3 linked regions of the Canis lupus familiaris genome follow. The protein of the gene in region 3 interacts with the protein of the main gene of each other region in a pairwise test. Links are inferred from orthologs where the notes say so. Each region holds a gene or a part of one and is shown on either strand. Other genes may lie near its edges. The genes, in order: TEPSIN, ZNF576 and AP4B1.

Region 1 (5,269 bases), on a different chromosome or scaffold from region 3:
CAGAGAACGCTGAGGTGAAGCGCCGAAAACACTTGCCCAGAGACAGGGCTCCCTGGCACGGAGCTGGACGGGACCCAGCACCCTCTCTGCCTCCTCAGGCAGCTCTGTGCAAGGCTGGGGACTGCAGCAGACTGGGCAAAAAGGTGCTCATCGGTGCATTTCCTCGTGGTGACAAACACTCAAGCACCCTCGTCCTGAACGTCAGGTCCCCCAGCTCTCAGCAGGGTCATCTTCCGTGATGGGGGCATGGGAAAGAGCCCCCAAGCTTAGGGCGCGCTGTGGGAGCATCTGTAGACGACCATGGCAAAGGAGCATACAGGCGCCTGGAACAGGTGGGCCCTCACCACAAAAGGTGCCACGGAGAGACCTGTGTGTAGGGAACGTGTTTGGTCCTTCCACGGAGCTTCTTCCAAGCTGCAGCCCCAGAGTGGAGAGTCCCCCGGGGAAGACTGTAGAACCGGGGAGGAAGCGCAGGGGACAGGTGTGCCTGGCTGCACGGCCCACGTCATATACGAGGCTGGCCACGGGTGGGGGGGGGGGCTGGCTGGGGGCAGGACCAGGCCTGAGCGTCCCCGGGGAGGTGCAAAATCTCCGAGCCCCCGGGAAGGGAGCCTCGCACTGTCCTCTCCCAGACAAGCGGCCAAGGCACAGCTACCCGCTCAGGATGATCGATCCCGGAATGTCAGGGGACGGACGGCCTGAGGTCCCCGGAGTCCGCCGAGCTCAACCGCCCTGTCCGCGTCGGGTCCTCTGCACCGGCAGCTCCGGGGGACACAGGGGATCGCGGGCATCCCGGCCCAGCCCAGGGCCCCCTCCTCGGGCGCCGGGTTCCTGGAGCATGTCCAACCCCATGTGCTCCACGCGACCCGTACTCTCCGCTTTGGGGCAGGGCAGGCGGTCACAGCACCTCCGCAGGCTGCGCGTCGGCAGCAGAAGGGGCGTGATGCGGCGCGGCTGAGTCCCGGCCCCGGAGCAGAAGCCCCGCGGGGGCCAGAGGGCCAGCGAGCGCCGCTCGGGGGCTGCCCTTCCCGGGGAGCGGCCTCCTGAATGCCCTTCGCCGTCGGGGGTCGGGCGGCGCGGCCGGCCTGAGCGCACGCGCGGGAAGGAGACGGCAGCTGCCGCTGCGCCCGGGCCCCCCCCGCCCCGCGCCCCACTGTCCCCCGGGGGCGCCCACCTACCGCGGCGGCGAAGCAGCGCCGCAGAGCCTCGAACTCCGGCGCACAGAGGTCCTTCGCCAGGCGGCCGCCCGGGGCCGTGGACGCCTGCACGCACCTGCCGTAGGCCGCGGCCTGGAGGGCGGGCGGGACGCGCCGGGATCGCGACGGCCTCCGCGCCCGCCGGTCACCGCCCCGCCCGTGCGGGCCCCGCCTGTCCCGCAGGCCCCGCCCCGCCCGGCGGCTCCTCACCTCGGCCCCGCAGGCCGCTAGGCGCCCGGGGAAGGCGCGGAGGCGGCCCCGCACGCGCCCCCACACCGCTCCGTTCCCGGACATGAGCCGCTACTCCCAGCACCCGTGGGCGCCGCCATCTTGCGCCCGCCCTCTTCCGGCGCCCAGCGTCCCGTGCGCCCCCTGATTGGCTGGGCCTCAGCCCCACCCCACCGCTAGCCCCGCCCCCTTCCGGAACGGCGACCCGGCTCCGGGAACACTGCAAGTGGCTGGCGGGTTTGTCTGTCTTTGACGTGGGACTTCGGATTGGTTCAGGCTCGCGTGGTGTGCCCGCCCCGCACGGGCGATTGGCCAGCTGGGCCAGGCGTGCGCGGGGATTGGAGGGGGGCCGCGGCGGCGGGGGGGCCGGAAGGTGACCGGCATGATGGCGGCCACGCCGGCGCTGCGGGACCGGCTGAGCTTCCTGCACCGGGTGAGTGCGGGCGGCCGCTCAGCCCCCGCCGGGGCCTCTTGCCTTCGCCCTCGGCCGCCTCCCCGCGGCGCTCACGCCTTGCGGGCCGGGCCCTGTTTCCTCTCCAGCTCCCGCTCCTCCTGAAGGGAACGTCGGATGACGACGCCCCGTGTCCGGGCTACCTGTTCGAGGAGATCGCCCGTATCCTTCGTGTCCGCCGCTCGCCCGCGGGCCGGGCCGCTGCAGCTCCTGCGCCGGAGGCCGGGGGGGCGGCGGGGCGGCGGGGAGGCCCGCGCGGGGCCGGGGGGCGGGAGGCGCGGCCGACCCCGCTCAGCCCTTCCCTAACCACGGCCGGCCAGGCATCTCCCACGAGTCCCCGGGCAGCAGCCAGTGCCTCCTGGAGTACCTTCTGACCCGGCTGCACAGCGGCTCCGGCCGCGTGAAGCTCAAGGTGAGTCCCCGCGCGGCCCCCCACCCAGGGCAGGCCCAGCTCCCACCCGCGGGCGGCGGATGCAGGCGGGGCGCGGCGGGGTGCGTGCCGCCTGCCCCACCTGCCCGCCCCCCAGGTGCTGAAGATCCTGCTCCACCTGTGTGGCCACGGCTCCCCGTCTTCCGTGCTCATCCTCAAGCGCAACCCCGCCTTCATCCAAGAGGCTGCAGGTACCGGGCGCGGGGCGGGGGGCCCTGCGCCGACCCCCAGGGGTACCCCCACCGCAGGACCCTTCCTGGCAGCTCCCGTCTGCGCCCCAGCCCTACTGCGTCTGGCCCGTCACTTTCTGCCCGTGTGTCCTGCCCGGCCTGGGCGGCCCAGGCCCGTCCTGCCTGTTCTAGTGCCCGACCCGCCAGAGATGATTCGTGTCCTCAGGGCCCGAGCCAGGGAGCGCTGTGAGCTTGCACGAGGGGGGCCTGGCCTGTCGCGGTCTAGGCGACAGATGGGGCTGCAGGGGAGCCGCCGGTCTCACCCCACCCACGCCGGGGGCTGTCCTGTTTGTTTCTCTTTAACTAGAACTTGGGAGGCGTGGCCCGAGACCTTCCCTCAGGTGAGGCAGCTGCAGCATCTACAGGCCCCGCCGCCCGGCCTCGGGGAGTCTTGGAAGGGCCCACGTTCAGGCAGGAACCGTGCACACCGAGCTGGGCCCGTGAGAGCCCCGGGGAGGCACCTGGTGCGCTCGGAGGACCCCCATCGTTAGGCAGCACCTCCCCGCCCTGAAGCCACCTCAGCCCTTCAAGGACAGGCTGGGCGAGGCTGGGCACTCGGCACCCCGGAGAGCATCCTGCCCCCAGACTTGGCCGCTGCCCCCGGTGTCCACCGGGGCTCGTGCTCGTCACCAGTGCCCCCCAAAACTCCTGTGCAAAAACAGCAGGCCTGCCTCGCTTACTTTCGCCGGCCGGGGCGTGTCTGTGCTGCCAACTTGCACACAAGCCGTCCCCCAGTCCTGCACCCCAGGAACACGTGGCCACAGCCTCCATCTGCCATGCTCCAAGCCCAGGGGACAGCGCCAGGCTGTGGGGAGGTGGCCCCAGGGCAGGAGTCCCATGGGAATGAGGGGGTGCCATCCCCACTCACTGGAGGTTCGGCTCCCGGCTGCTGGTCCTGGGCCACCAGCCGCAGTGGAGACAGCACGGTGCCAGGGGGCTGGGAAGAGAGGTGCGTCTGTGACGGATGAGACAGAGCCTAGGGTGGGCTCGTTTTTTCTGGAGAATCTCACTTGCTGTAACCCTGAGCTCAGACCTTCGAGAGGTGGAGCTTGTGGGTCATGATAAAGAGCGGGCTTTTGTCGCCCGGCCCCCCGGGACCTCTGTGGGGCTTTGGATTGGACGAGATCCTCTGTGTGTCTTTCGGGCAGAAGGGGGTGCAGAGGTAGTAAGGCTGCCCCTGCAGGAACTCAGAGAGACGGTGGGGTCAGGGAGGGGGCCACCCACGTCGTGCTTTGCAGGTCGACACGCAGGCCTGGTGTGAGCATGGGAGCTGGGGCCTGCAGGGGTGCGGCTCTAGAAGCAGCCTGGGGCAGGGCGTCCTGGATGAGGGGCTCTGGGTGCTCTCCAGGCTTTGTCCATGGGGCAGAGCATTCTGGGGGGGTGGCAGCTTCCGCGGGCTGATGGCTGCTGTAAGGACTTTGACCTGGAAGTGCTGTCATGTGGGGGATTTGAGGTCCGACCTGTGCTTTAGGGAGCTAACCCTGACCCTGGGGCTGCCAGGGCCACCTGCCGGGGATCAGAGTTGTAGGGGCCCCTGGGGGGCCTGGTCACGGCCGGGATGGGCTGCAGCTCACCCCCCCAGGGAACGCGAGTGTTGGAGCGTCACCCCTGCGGTCACCAGCGCCCGCTCAGCGTTGGTTCTCCGGCTCTGCCCGCAGCGTTCTCAGGGCCCCCGGATCCTCTCCACGGGAACAGCTTGTACCAGAAGGTGCGGGCGGCCGCCCAGGTGAGTCGGGACTCAGGTCGGCTCTAGGGCAGCACTGGGCCTTTGTTCTCCAACCGCCTGGGACCCTGGCTCTGTTCCTGCTGTGGGACCAGCCCCCCGTCCCCCCCACCCAGCCTGGCCTCTGAGAACCCTGGGGACGGGGGGATGGGGGGGGATGGCAGCCCAGCTGCACGTGCTGAGCACCCTCCTCCTCATCTAGGACTTGGGAAGCGCACTATTCTCTGACAGCGTGTCCCCTCCGCCTCACTCCCAGGCTCCCAGGGGCCTGCTTCCAGCAGGTAGGCCGCTGTGTCCATCCCTGCCGCTGGGTGTTCCCTCTGGAAGGCCTGGGGTCCCTTCTCCCCACCTGCTGTCCTCGGCCGGCGTGCCACTCTGCGCAGGGCTGAGGATGAGTAGCCACACTTGCCTGCAGGCATGGGCTCGCAGTCCAGACCCCAGGGCTCCCTCCAGGGCTTCGGCTACAGCAAGGAGCGGGGCCACACGGGTGAGTGCTGCGTGGGCTCCCAGAGCCGTGGGGGCGAGGGCCTGGCAGCTCAGGCCTGCCGAGCCCTGGAGGGTGATGTGGCCAGCTGGCGTGCCCTGCCCACTCCACCTTCTCTGCCGGGGCCTGTGGGACGAGGCCGGCCGGGTCTGCTTAGCCAGCAGGGGAGAAGTCAGGCTGGGCCTCATTTGCACACACGGCTCCTTCCAGGGCCCAAGGGCAGAGGGTGCTGGGCCTGGCTACCACAGGTGACTCGGCAGGTGCGGTGCTGAGCTGGCTCTGCATGCCCAGCTTGCCTCGGTGGCCTGTTGCTACTCATTCTGGTCACAGCTCTGACCCCCCGGCCCTCAGGGGGCACTGATTCCTAAAGCGGGTCTGGCTCGGAGGCCTGTCCTCTCCTGAGGTGGGGTGACAGTGCTCGGTCCTCGTAGGGCACAAGGGTGGGGAAGGGCATGAACCACAGCTGGATCGCAAGTGCAGTGTGGGGCACCCAGGCTCCATCAGCCCCGGGAGCATTCTGGAGCAGA
Region 2 (5,234 bases), on a different chromosome or scaffold from region 3:
CAACTGTATTGTGGGCTAAAGGAAAGGCAAGCACCTTTGGACCGGAGCAAGGTCACCCAGGGCGCTCTTTGCAGAGACTAGGTTTACTGAGGCGAAGAAGGGCCAGTGAGGGGAAAAGCCTCGCTTATTAGTGCTTACCAAGGAGTGGCTAAGGAAAAAAGATGTGCACTGACCCAGTGGGCCTCATTTGGACTTCTATAAAACAGGTGGCCAGGGATGGGGGGGGGGAGGATTTAGGAGGTAGCCAGCGAGTGGGCATAGAAATGAGATGGGATTGGGATTAAAGAAAGGCAGAGGGGGAGGAAATCCAGAAAGGGCAAGGCTCACTGAGGGTGTGGCTTTACAAGGACTAGTGTAGCTTGAGAACAAAGCTGAAGGTGGAGCAAAGCTGAAGGTGGAGAGGACGAGGAGGGCTCGAAAGTGTGAATCCCTGGGTAACATCTTGGCGGGGATCGCAGGCTTGTGTGCTGAGTAAGCCTTCCTCCAAACTTTTGCCATGGGGGAAGTATTTGGGCATTAGGTCCTCGCCTCTCCTAAAATGCTCAGTGAAGCAGGGCTTGGGACCTGAGAATGCTTGCGGGGGGCAGAACCTGGGAGGACGGGTCAGAACCTCGAGCTGACCTTTTGGTGGGGCGGAGCCTAGAAGACAAGAAAGGCTCCAGCATTGAGTGCTGGCTTGGAGTGGAGCCTCGCTGACCTCAAAACCTGCGCTGAGGGGCAGGACCAGGGCCAGAGAGCAGGGCCCCCAGCAGCTATCCTGTTAAGGCCTGCCCCAAACTCACTGGGGGTGGGGTCTCGCGATCTCAAAGAACATTTTCTGGATGTGAAATGTAAAGCACTAGGCCTCAAGTCCTCGCTCACCTCTGCAGCACCTCCGCCTGGCTCCGCAGCGCCACCCGCAGGCGCTCCAATTCCTTGCAGCCGTCTCGGCGGCCGCAGTCCGCGGGCAGCACGAAGAGAGCAGCGGCCCCCAACCCCGCGCCGTTCAGCAGGGCCGCGGTCTGATCCCGGGCCTGGGCTTCATCTTGTGACTCCCCAGGGCGGAGATTCCGCACAGCCAGCAGCGGGGTCCCTCGGGCCAGGGCGGCCCGCGCTGCCTCTCCCAGCGCTGGGGCCAGGGGCTCCCCGTTCCCCTCGGGGCCGGGCAGCACCAATACCAGCACGTTGGCCTCCGCCGCCCAGGGCCCTGGCGCTGCGGGCGGACAGCTCAGCTCGCCCAGGAAGAGGCCAGGGCCCAATGCTCGCAGGCTGGGGATCCCGGAGTCCGGTCGGCCCTCGGGAATCTCTATGGTCTCCACATTCCCGTCGCACAGCGCTGCGATCAGCGCGGACTTGCCACAGCCCGGAGGCCCCAGGAACAAGGCGGTCACGTCACCCCGTGGCGGTGGCATACCTGGAAGGCAAGGGGGTGGTGCAGACCCGGGTCAGGGAGCACTCGACCTTTTTCTTTCCTGGTCTGCTCACTCTGTCCCCCCTCCATTCTTGCGTGTCACTCCCAGGGAAACATCCGGCACCCACGCCCTGTCTATTCCCCAAGGACCCGGGTGGCTTGTCCGCCCTCTTTCTGGATACATTTAAAAATATATATTTTATTGATTTTAGAGAGAGAGAGAGAGCACAGCCGGGGGGGAGGGGCGGAGGGAGAAGCCCACTCCTCGCTGAGCGGGAGCCTGATGCGGGGCTCCACCCCAGGACCCCGGGGATCATCACCTGAGAGAAGACAGACGCTCAACCGGCTGAGCCGCCCAGGCGCCCCACTCTCTCGGTTTCAAAATCTTAGACATCCGGACCTCCAGGCCCCTCCTCCCTCAGGGACATGGATGTTTTTATTCCCGCACTCCTCCCTTCCAAACCACTAACCGAGCAAAGCGCTGGCAGTCACCGGAGAGCGCGATCCGCGGCGGCGGGTCAGCCGCTGAGAAGCCCCGCCCTTGGGGTCGGGCGGACGGAGGCCGAAGAGGTTAGGGCGCCCCGATTTGGGGCGGAGGGGCGGAGGGGGGGCCGTCCAGACCCGTTCCGAGGGCTCTAACCTGACGTCACTCTTTTAAGGAGGGGGTGTGTCTTGGAAGCGTGACCTCGGGGCTACAGCCCTTGGCGGCGGCTGCGCAGAGCAATCGAAGCGCGCCGGCTCCCCCCTGCTGCTGCCGCGGGGCCCCGAACAATGAGGGAGTCAGAGCGCCTGCGCGCCAGCAGCGCCCGGCCACATTTGCGCAAGAAGCGGAGGTCGGTCCGGCACGGGCGGCCGCGACGTCATCATAACGCATCCCGCTGCGGGGAAGGACCCCTCCCGTTTCTCTGAGGACCCGGCTGGCGCGACTGCATCACTGCCGGATAGTAGCCGGGCTTTCGGCGTCGAGAGGCTCCTCCGGCGAAAGGGCGTGGGAGCCCCTGGGACCTTGAGCCTCGGGGGCCCTACCCCGCTTCCCTCCGGGTGGCGGCGCTGTGACGAGGCGGCCGACTGGCGCCACGAGAGCTGCCCGCTGCTGTCCGGAGAAAAGCCGAGGCCTGGGGCTACCCGGCCTCGGGAGGAGGGAACCGAGGCTGAAGGCGCGCGTGGGAGGCGGGGGCCCGGGGTGGAACGAGGGTCACAGGATGTCAGAGAAAGATGCCTCCCGGGAGGAGGCGGGTTAGACCCGGGGCGCCACTACCTGCCTCAAGACACGTGGGAGAGCTGGTGTCAAGAGATCAAGGGTTCCATGCCCGCACTTCAGGGAGTTAGATGTGGGAGGCCAGAGGTCTCACGCAGGTCAGACGGCTCCACGGGGTATCACAGGCCTGGGGAGTCGGATCTTTTGAGAGGGTCGAAGCTTCCCTGAGGAGAGCTCCACCAGGTTAGAGTTCAAGAGGATGGCCTCTTACGGGGTGGGGTGGGGTGGGGTGGGGGTGGGCGGGAAGCAAGGGGAGCCTGCCGGAGGTCATAGGATTGCGGGCCCCTTCATGCAATGGATACATGAGCGACTTCACTTGATTTACTGTCCTGTCATGCGCGCTGCTCTCTTGACCAGAGGGATCCCAGGCGTTATGGAGGACCCGCATCTCGAAGGGGCCACGGAGCAGCAGGATCCGTCCCAGGAGAGGAGTCCCCGCAGCCCAGGAGGCGACATCTGTGAGTGCTGCTGGCCAGACGGGTGGGGTGCTGGAGCCGATGCTAGCTAGCTAAAAGGATTTCAGTGTCCCAGGCATGTAACAAGCACTCGCCTGCTGCAAAGGGGCTGTAATAAATGGTTTATAAGCTGCCCTACCAGGAACTGCCATTCTCTACCCTTACCTTTATTGTGCTCAGATGTACCCATCCCGCTCTGGCCACGTAAGTTCGAATGTGCTGCAGTTTGGACGGACAGAGTGGCACCCAGAGAGGCTTGGGTGGGAGAAAATGTTGGACACTGAGAGAGGAGACCCGAGGTTCCAGTGCCAACTCTGCCCCAGACTTTGGGTGTGTGACTTGGGCTCGGGTTTCCCTGTCAAAAGAGGTTGCCACTACTCAGGTGACACGGCTGTAAAGGGGATTAGTGGCAGAGATGGGGAAGGTTTGATATCGGGGAGTCTGCTGTTAGCAGAGGTAGCCAGTTTGACATAGGATAGCAACAGCTTCTACTGAATGCTTACTAGGTGTTGGGCGCTTTCTAAGAGTTTAACCTTCATTATCTCAGTCCTCCTGACAGACCCAATGGAATTGGCATTGCTTTCAGATAAGGGAACTGAGGCAAAGAGGTTATCTGGGACAATGAGCTCCAGTGTCAAGGTCCTCCGGCCAAAGACCACCAGGAACACACCTGCATTTGAACAAGTTGGGTTTATCGCTCATTGCACTGAGGAAGCACACACACCCTGAAGCACTGTGGGGCATCTCAGTGTTAGAAAGGACTTATCTTAGGTGATTTGGGAGAAGGTTCAAGGAAGGGTTTTGTTCCAATTAAATGCTGCCAGTAAGTAGGGGCAAAAGATAGGTTGGCTGTGTAAATAAATCTTATCCAGGAGGGGGGGTACAAAGGCTCAAGCTGTGATTGATAAAGCAGCAGCAGCCCCTCCTGTGAGCCAGGATAGGGGGATGTTTGGTCATTTTTGTGGCTTGGACAATGTTCATGTTTTGTCTGTGTTCAGACGTTACTCTGGCATGGTCTTGATGTGATTCATCTCAGTCACAGCATGGCTTTGTCTGACAAGGTTCTGTGAAACTGCTTCTGTTCAACAGGAGAACACCAAGGCCTAGCTGTGAGTGCCAGGCCAGCCCCTGTCAAGCTGCTTTTCTCTTTCTCAATACGAGTAACCACAAACCACTGTGTAGCACTGTTCTAAGCACTTTATATGAAGTAATAACCCATTTACTCCCTCCAACAACCCCATGAGGTAGTTGTAACTGTACTGATCAGTCAACCATACTGATATGGTTATGACCCCATTTTCCAGATGAGGAAACCGTTGTACTTGCCTAGGAAGTGGCAGATCTGGGATTCAGTGCCAAGTAGTCTGGCTCCAGAGGCTGTGCTCTAATCACATGGCTCTGCTGGGAGAGCACACTCCCTGGGTTCCATTCCTGACTCCACCATTTCATTTCCTAGCAAGTTGCCTAACCTTTCAGAGCCTCAGTCTGCTCATCCATAAAACGTCCTGTAATAGTTTGCCTGTGCCACTGTCCAGCCCTGACGTACAGCTGGCATATAGTAAGCACTGAATGTAAATTGTTGGCAAGACCCTGGGGCTTGGGAGAGGTCCTGGTGACTCTTGCTGGCTTCCCCCGACCTCTCCCCACGTCCCTCAGGCCACCTGGGGGCCCCGCAGTGCACCCGCTGCCTCATCACCTTCGCCGATTCCAAGTTCCAGGAGCGTCACATGAAGCGGGAGCACCCAGCTGATTTCGTGGCCCAGAAGCTGCAGGGGGCCCTCTTCATCTGCTTCACCTGCGCCCGCTCCTTCCCCTCCTCCAAGGCCCTGCTCGCCCATCAGCGCAGCCACGGTCCAGCAGCCAGGCCCTCCACGCCAGTTGCACCCACCGCTGCCCACCCTACATTCCCCTGCCCTGACTGTGGCAAGACCTTTGGGCAGGCTGCTTCTCTGAGGCGGCACCGCCAGGCGCATGAGACCCGTGTCCCTCCAGGCCCCTTTGCCTGCACTGAGTGTGGTCAGGACTTTGCCCAGGAAGCTGGGCTGCATCAACACTACATCCGGCATGCCCGGGGGGAACTCTGAGTGAGGGTTACACCCTCCCTAGGGCAATGGGTGTGTGTGTGGGGGGG
Region 3 (4,492 bases):
GAGCACTAAGGCAACCAAACCGATTTAAGAGATGGTGGGCGATGGGCTTGTTGATGACAACACCTCCTTCCTGTTTCAGAATTTCTTCTAGAGACCTCAGGCAATTCACAACCACAATTGGATCCTGGTCACGCAGCAAACTGTATAACTCATTTACCAGAGCACCGTCTATAAAAGAGCACAAAGATCTCAGATAAAGAACAGCTTCAGAGTCTCAGGAATAGAACCAGAGTAATAACTCCAGGTAGACAAAGCTGAACTTCTCTGCCTCAAAAATAACAAAGGCAATAACAAAGTGCAAGGCAAAAAATTGCCATCTCCATACTGTTCTAAGTAGCTAATCCAATGGATCTCACCTGGGCCCCCAAAGAAAAGACTTCTCTAATCTCAAAAAATACCAAACCAGCCTTTCTACTTAAAGAGGCAAGTACAGAAGTAGGGCCATATTACTATTTTCTACCAAAGTCATGTCATCTTTTACAAAACCATACATATAATGGAGACACAAATAAATACTGATCATGATGGATTACACTGAAACTTACCCACTTCAGAGTCTCCATGAAGATTATGCATCTTGGCACAACCAAGGACCGCCACCCTCCTGACATATGAAGCTTTATCTCGCAGGCCATTGAGAATAGGCTGTTGGATATATTCCTGCACACCAGGCATCCTAAGCAACACATCCTGGAGTCAGCCAGATCTTGAAATACTAGTTTTGACATACTTCAGCCCCTATTCACTTAACAAGAGGGTTAGTAGATGTTTGAATGTACCTCTATCACATCATAAAGAATTAGGGAAAGCCACTGCCCAACTTAAAAAGTCAGACTTGATTTTTCATTTGGAATAATACTCCAGGGGCAGCAAAAATATATTATCTACATATTATCTATATTTACTGACTTGTTTAGAAACCTTTACCCAAAACCAAAAACTATTTCAGTGAGGATGGAAAACTCCCTTTAATGTAACCATATGACATAGTTTTTTTAAGCCTAAGCAATGGCTGAAAACCTGAGTTCAGGTTACAACAGCATTTTCCCTAGTATTACGAAGCTCAAATAGATTATCACCATTGAAAACATGTCCCATGATCTCCTGAATACATCAGCCACTGATAAACAGTCAGGGAAGCGGGTACTCACCTAAGGCTACACATGCTCCGTAATGCCAGCCCTCGCACCATCGGATTGGGATCCGAACAGTCTTTGCACAGCGTATTAATAGCCAAAAGAGCCAGATCTGGTTTCAGGGGGGCGTATGTACACATGTACAGATAAACCAACTTCTTCTGAACAATATCTACAGTGGCACTCGCCTTCACCATTTCCATGAAAACACCGGACATGTCCAAGCCCTGAGTCATGTGCCTGAAACCAATACACACAGTAGAAAAAAGTAAAATACATAATCCCCAGCCGACAACAAAAGGCATTTTACCTATACACATCCTGGCTATCCAACTGGATTGTGAAGGAAGCAACCACATCTACCTTGCCTATTACACTGCACAATACTTCACACTATGGGCCTACCACAAATGTTCTATTCATTCAACAAACACTTATTGAATTCCTGGTACATTCCAGTGTAACTCAGCTTCTACATTCCAGGGATATGCTCTGGGGATATAATCTTGAAGAATGCATGGTCTCAGATCTCTAGGAACTCAAAATATGACTAAGGAGCAAGATAAAAAAAATGCCACTAATTACAGTACCACAGGTAGGTATTAAAACAGAAGTAACAGACAAGGTGCAGTGGGGATCCAGAAATCTAATACTGCTAAGAAATCATAAAATTGGGGGTATCCCTGGGTTTCTCAGCGGTTTGGTGCCTGCCTTCGGGCCAGGGTGTGATCCTAGAGTCCCTGGAAAGAGTCCTGCATCCGGCTTCCTGCATGGAGTCTGCTTCTCCCTCTGCCTGTGTCTCTGCCTCTCTCTGTGTCTTTCATGAATAAATAAATTTAAAAAAATCATAAAAAATGTTTCCAAAGGGGAAGTAATACTTCAGTTGAATGAGCTGGAATTTTCCAGGCAAGTGTAGTAGGTAAGTAATGCTACACTCTGCGAGTCTGCAAGTAGTTCCCTAAGCAGGGTGTTCTTTGGTTGCTATGATAAGAAGTTTGGACTTTATTCTGTAGATCACTGTTTCTCAAGCGGTGGTCTCCTACAGGAAGCAGATGGGATGTCTGTTTCCAATGCATATTCCTGGGTTCCACGCCACCTTACTAAAAGCAGTATTACTGGACCGGATGAAAATTTTACATTTTTTAAAAAAAGCACCCCAAGGGACTTTTGTGCATACCAAAGTTTGCAATCCACAACCACAGGCAAGAGTTATGCATTATTCAAACTCATATGTTGGGAAACTTGACTGAAATGAGGCAAGGTGACCTACTGGTAAGCCGCTGCAATTGCTTTGATAATAAAACCAGAACAGCGGTGCCAACAAAAAATAAATAGGTAGAACTTTTTAAGGAAAAGAAGATGGATATCTAGAACTATATATCCATACCATCTGACCAGAGAAGTGAAAATCAAGAGTCATCAAGACTGATTCCCTCCCCTGGTCAGCTGGATGGTGACATTCCTCAACCCAAATACCAGCGGAAGAGCAGGTTTGGGGAGAGGGGCAGGACACAGGTGCTATTTTGCATGTCTTTGAAGAAACATCCAGAAGGGAATGCCCAGCAGGCAGTAGGATATGTGGGTCTGAAGATACAAAAGGCTTTTTGTCCCAGATTCTATAGGTCTAGAGGGAGTCAGCAGTGTAAGTTCCAGGCACGGGTGTAGCCACTCTCCCGAGTAAACGGAGTCAAGTGGGTCCCCCGGGGGAGGCTGCGAAGGCCGGCGGGGCAGCAGGGCGACCCGACGTGCCCTGCCCGGTGTGAGCGGCCAGGGGTGGAGGGCCCGCGGCGGCGGGGAGCGCGGGCCGTGGCTGATACCTAATCACTCGCTGGATGACATTCCGGTAGCGCAGCCTATCCGCCTGAACGTGAGGGTTGCACAGAGCTTTCTTCAGCTCCTTCACCACGTCCTCGGAGCCCAGGTACGGCATCGTCTCCCGGCCAGGAGCAGTCCCCGCGGGCTCCTCCCAGCCCTGACGGGGGAACCTGGGCGAAGCAAAGGTCGGTCGGCGAAGCGCCCCGAGGCGTGAGGTCGGCCCCGCCTCCGCTTCCCCCGGGCCGCAGCCCAGGCTCCACGGCCCGGCGAGCCCCGCACCCGCTCCGGCGGTTCCCTCCTGGGGCCCGCAGGCCGGCTCGCTCCGCCCCGAGACGGCCCCGGCTACCCCGAGGCCCTCCGCCCCACTCCCAGCCTCGCCGCCCCAGGGCGCGGCCCCCTCCCGGCCGGGGCCGCCGTCCGAGCGCCTCCGCGCGGCGACCCGCCCCGATAGGCCCCGGCCCGCGCCCTGCGGAAGTCCCGCCTCCTCCGGGCCGACGGCGCCCAGCCGCGCCCCCCCTCCCCCCCCCCCCCCCGCGGGAGCGCCGAGCGCCGAGCGCCGCCCGGACGCCGACCTCCCGGCGCCCTCCCCCGCCGCTCCGCGGGGCGCAGCCGCGCAGCTCCCTCTGCCGGGGGCGCGGCGACCATCGGAGATCCGCTGCTTCGGCCTGTCTGCGCCCGGCAGCGCGCGCTTTGAGTGCCCGGCCTCAGCCCCGGCTCCCGCGCGCGGGGAGGAGTGGCGCTCGGGCGGGCGGTTTGCGCGGTTTGCGCTTCCAGCCGGGCCTCCCGGGAGCGCGGCCGCTTCCTTCTTTCTGTCCCCGCCTGCAGGGGCTTCTTCCTCTCCCGGGCCGGCTTCCCGTTGCCCCCAGCGCGACTTTCCAGAGGGCGCGATCGCGGAGCCCTGAGCCCATGAGGATCCCGCGGGTGAGCCCGCGGCCCCGCCACCATGAACGGGGCCCTGATCCCCCACACCCCCATCGCCGTGGACTTTTGGAGCCTGCGCCGGGCTGGCTCCGCACGGCTCTTCTTCCTGTCCCACATGCACTCGGACCACACCGTGGGCTTGTCTAGCACCTGGGCCCGGCCGCTCTACTGCTCCCCCATCACGGCTCACCTCGTGCACCGTCAGCTGCAGGTACCCGGGGGCTCGGGGGAGGGGAAGGGGGCGGGGCGGAGTCCCGTGGCGCTGTGCGATCCGTCACAGCCTCGGGCGCGTAGAGCGGGGACAGGAGGGCCGAGTTTTACAAATGCGGGAGTGGTTTGAATCCAGAAATGCGCCTGGCTTCTTGACTGGCCGACTTGGGATGTTTCAGCTAGAAGTCGGGGAGATCTTTTAGTCCACCCAAGGAAACTACCTACCTTTTCATGTAAACCAGGCCAGTGCTTCCTTAGTCTCATCAGAATCCACCTAATGTGCTGGGGGACTACACATGTTCTCCAGCGGCCCCCACCCTACCTCCGCTCTCCCACCGATCCAGTAGATCTAGCTGGAGCAGGTCTTGGAAATCTGGTTGGACCAGGTGCTCCCTAGGGATTATGATGAT

Evidence for each region.
Region 1: the proteins of AP4B1 (region 3) and TEPSIN interact in binary tests that used the Homo sapiens proteins (3 or more experiments, as listed by UniProt). The link is inferred for Canis lupus familiaris from reciprocal best matches to the Homo sapiens genes AP4B1 and TEPSIN.
Region 2: the proteins of AP4B1 (region 3) and ZNF576 interact in binary tests that used the Homo sapiens proteins (3 or more experiments, as listed by UniProt). The two-hybrid records come from large-scale screens. The link is inferred for Canis lupus familiaris from reciprocal best matches to the Homo sapiens genes AP4B1 and ZNF576.

The regions. Positions count from the first base shown.
Region 1 is NC_049230.1:1,689,069-1,694,337, forward strand, and holds the start of TEPSIN (AP-4 complex accessory subunit tepsin), read left to right. Parts: upstream 1-1,764; 5' UTR 1,765-1,806; coding exon 1,807-1,857; intron 1,858-1,964; coding exon 1,965-2,037; intron 2,038-2,195; coding exon 2,196-2,287; intron 2,288-2,402; coding exon 2,403-2,496; intron 2,497-4,193; coding exon 4,194-4,261; intron 4,262-4,460; coding exon 4,461-4,539; intron 4,540-4,673; coding exon 4,674-4,745; intron 4,746-5,269. Other genes in the region: NDUFAF8 (NADH dehydrogenase [ubiquinone] 1 alpha subcomplex assembly factor 8), read right to left, coding at 1,175-1,289, 1,407-1,490. UniProt on the Homo sapiens protein: Associates with the adapter-like complex 4 (AP-4) and may therefore play a role in vesicular trafficking of proteins at the trans-Golgi network.
Region 2 is NC_049222.1:112,246,224-112,251,457, reverse strand, and holds the start of ZNF576 (zinc finger protein 576), read left to right. Parts: upstream 1-2,105; 5' UTR 2,106-2,831; intron 2,832-3,005; 5' UTR 3,006-3,021; coding exon 3,022-3,106; intron 3,107-3,650; exon of another isoform or gene 3,651-4,495; coding exon of another isoform or gene 4,496-4,559; coding exon 4,560-4,661; intron 4,662-4,759; coding exon 4,760-5,187; 3' UTR 5,188-5,234. Other genes in the region: IRGQ (immunity-related GTPase family Q protein), read right to left, coding at 862-1,391. UniProt on the Homo sapiens protein: May be involved in transcriptional regulation.
Region 3 is NC_049238.1:52,234,009-52,238,500, forward strand, and holds part of AP4B1 (AP-4 complex subunit beta-1), read right to left. Parts: intron 4,084-4,492; coding exon of another isoform or gene 3,895-4,083; exon of another isoform or gene 3,632-3,894; intron 3,351-3,631; exon of another isoform or gene 3,231-3,350; intron 3,122-3,230; 5' UTR 3,067-3,121; coding exon 2,954-3,066; intron 1,377-2,953; coding exon 1,152-1,376; intron 677-1,151; coding exon 546-676; intron 169-545; coding exon 21-168; intron 1-20. Other genes in the region: DCLRE1B (5' exonuclease Apollo), read left to right, coding at 3,895-4,083.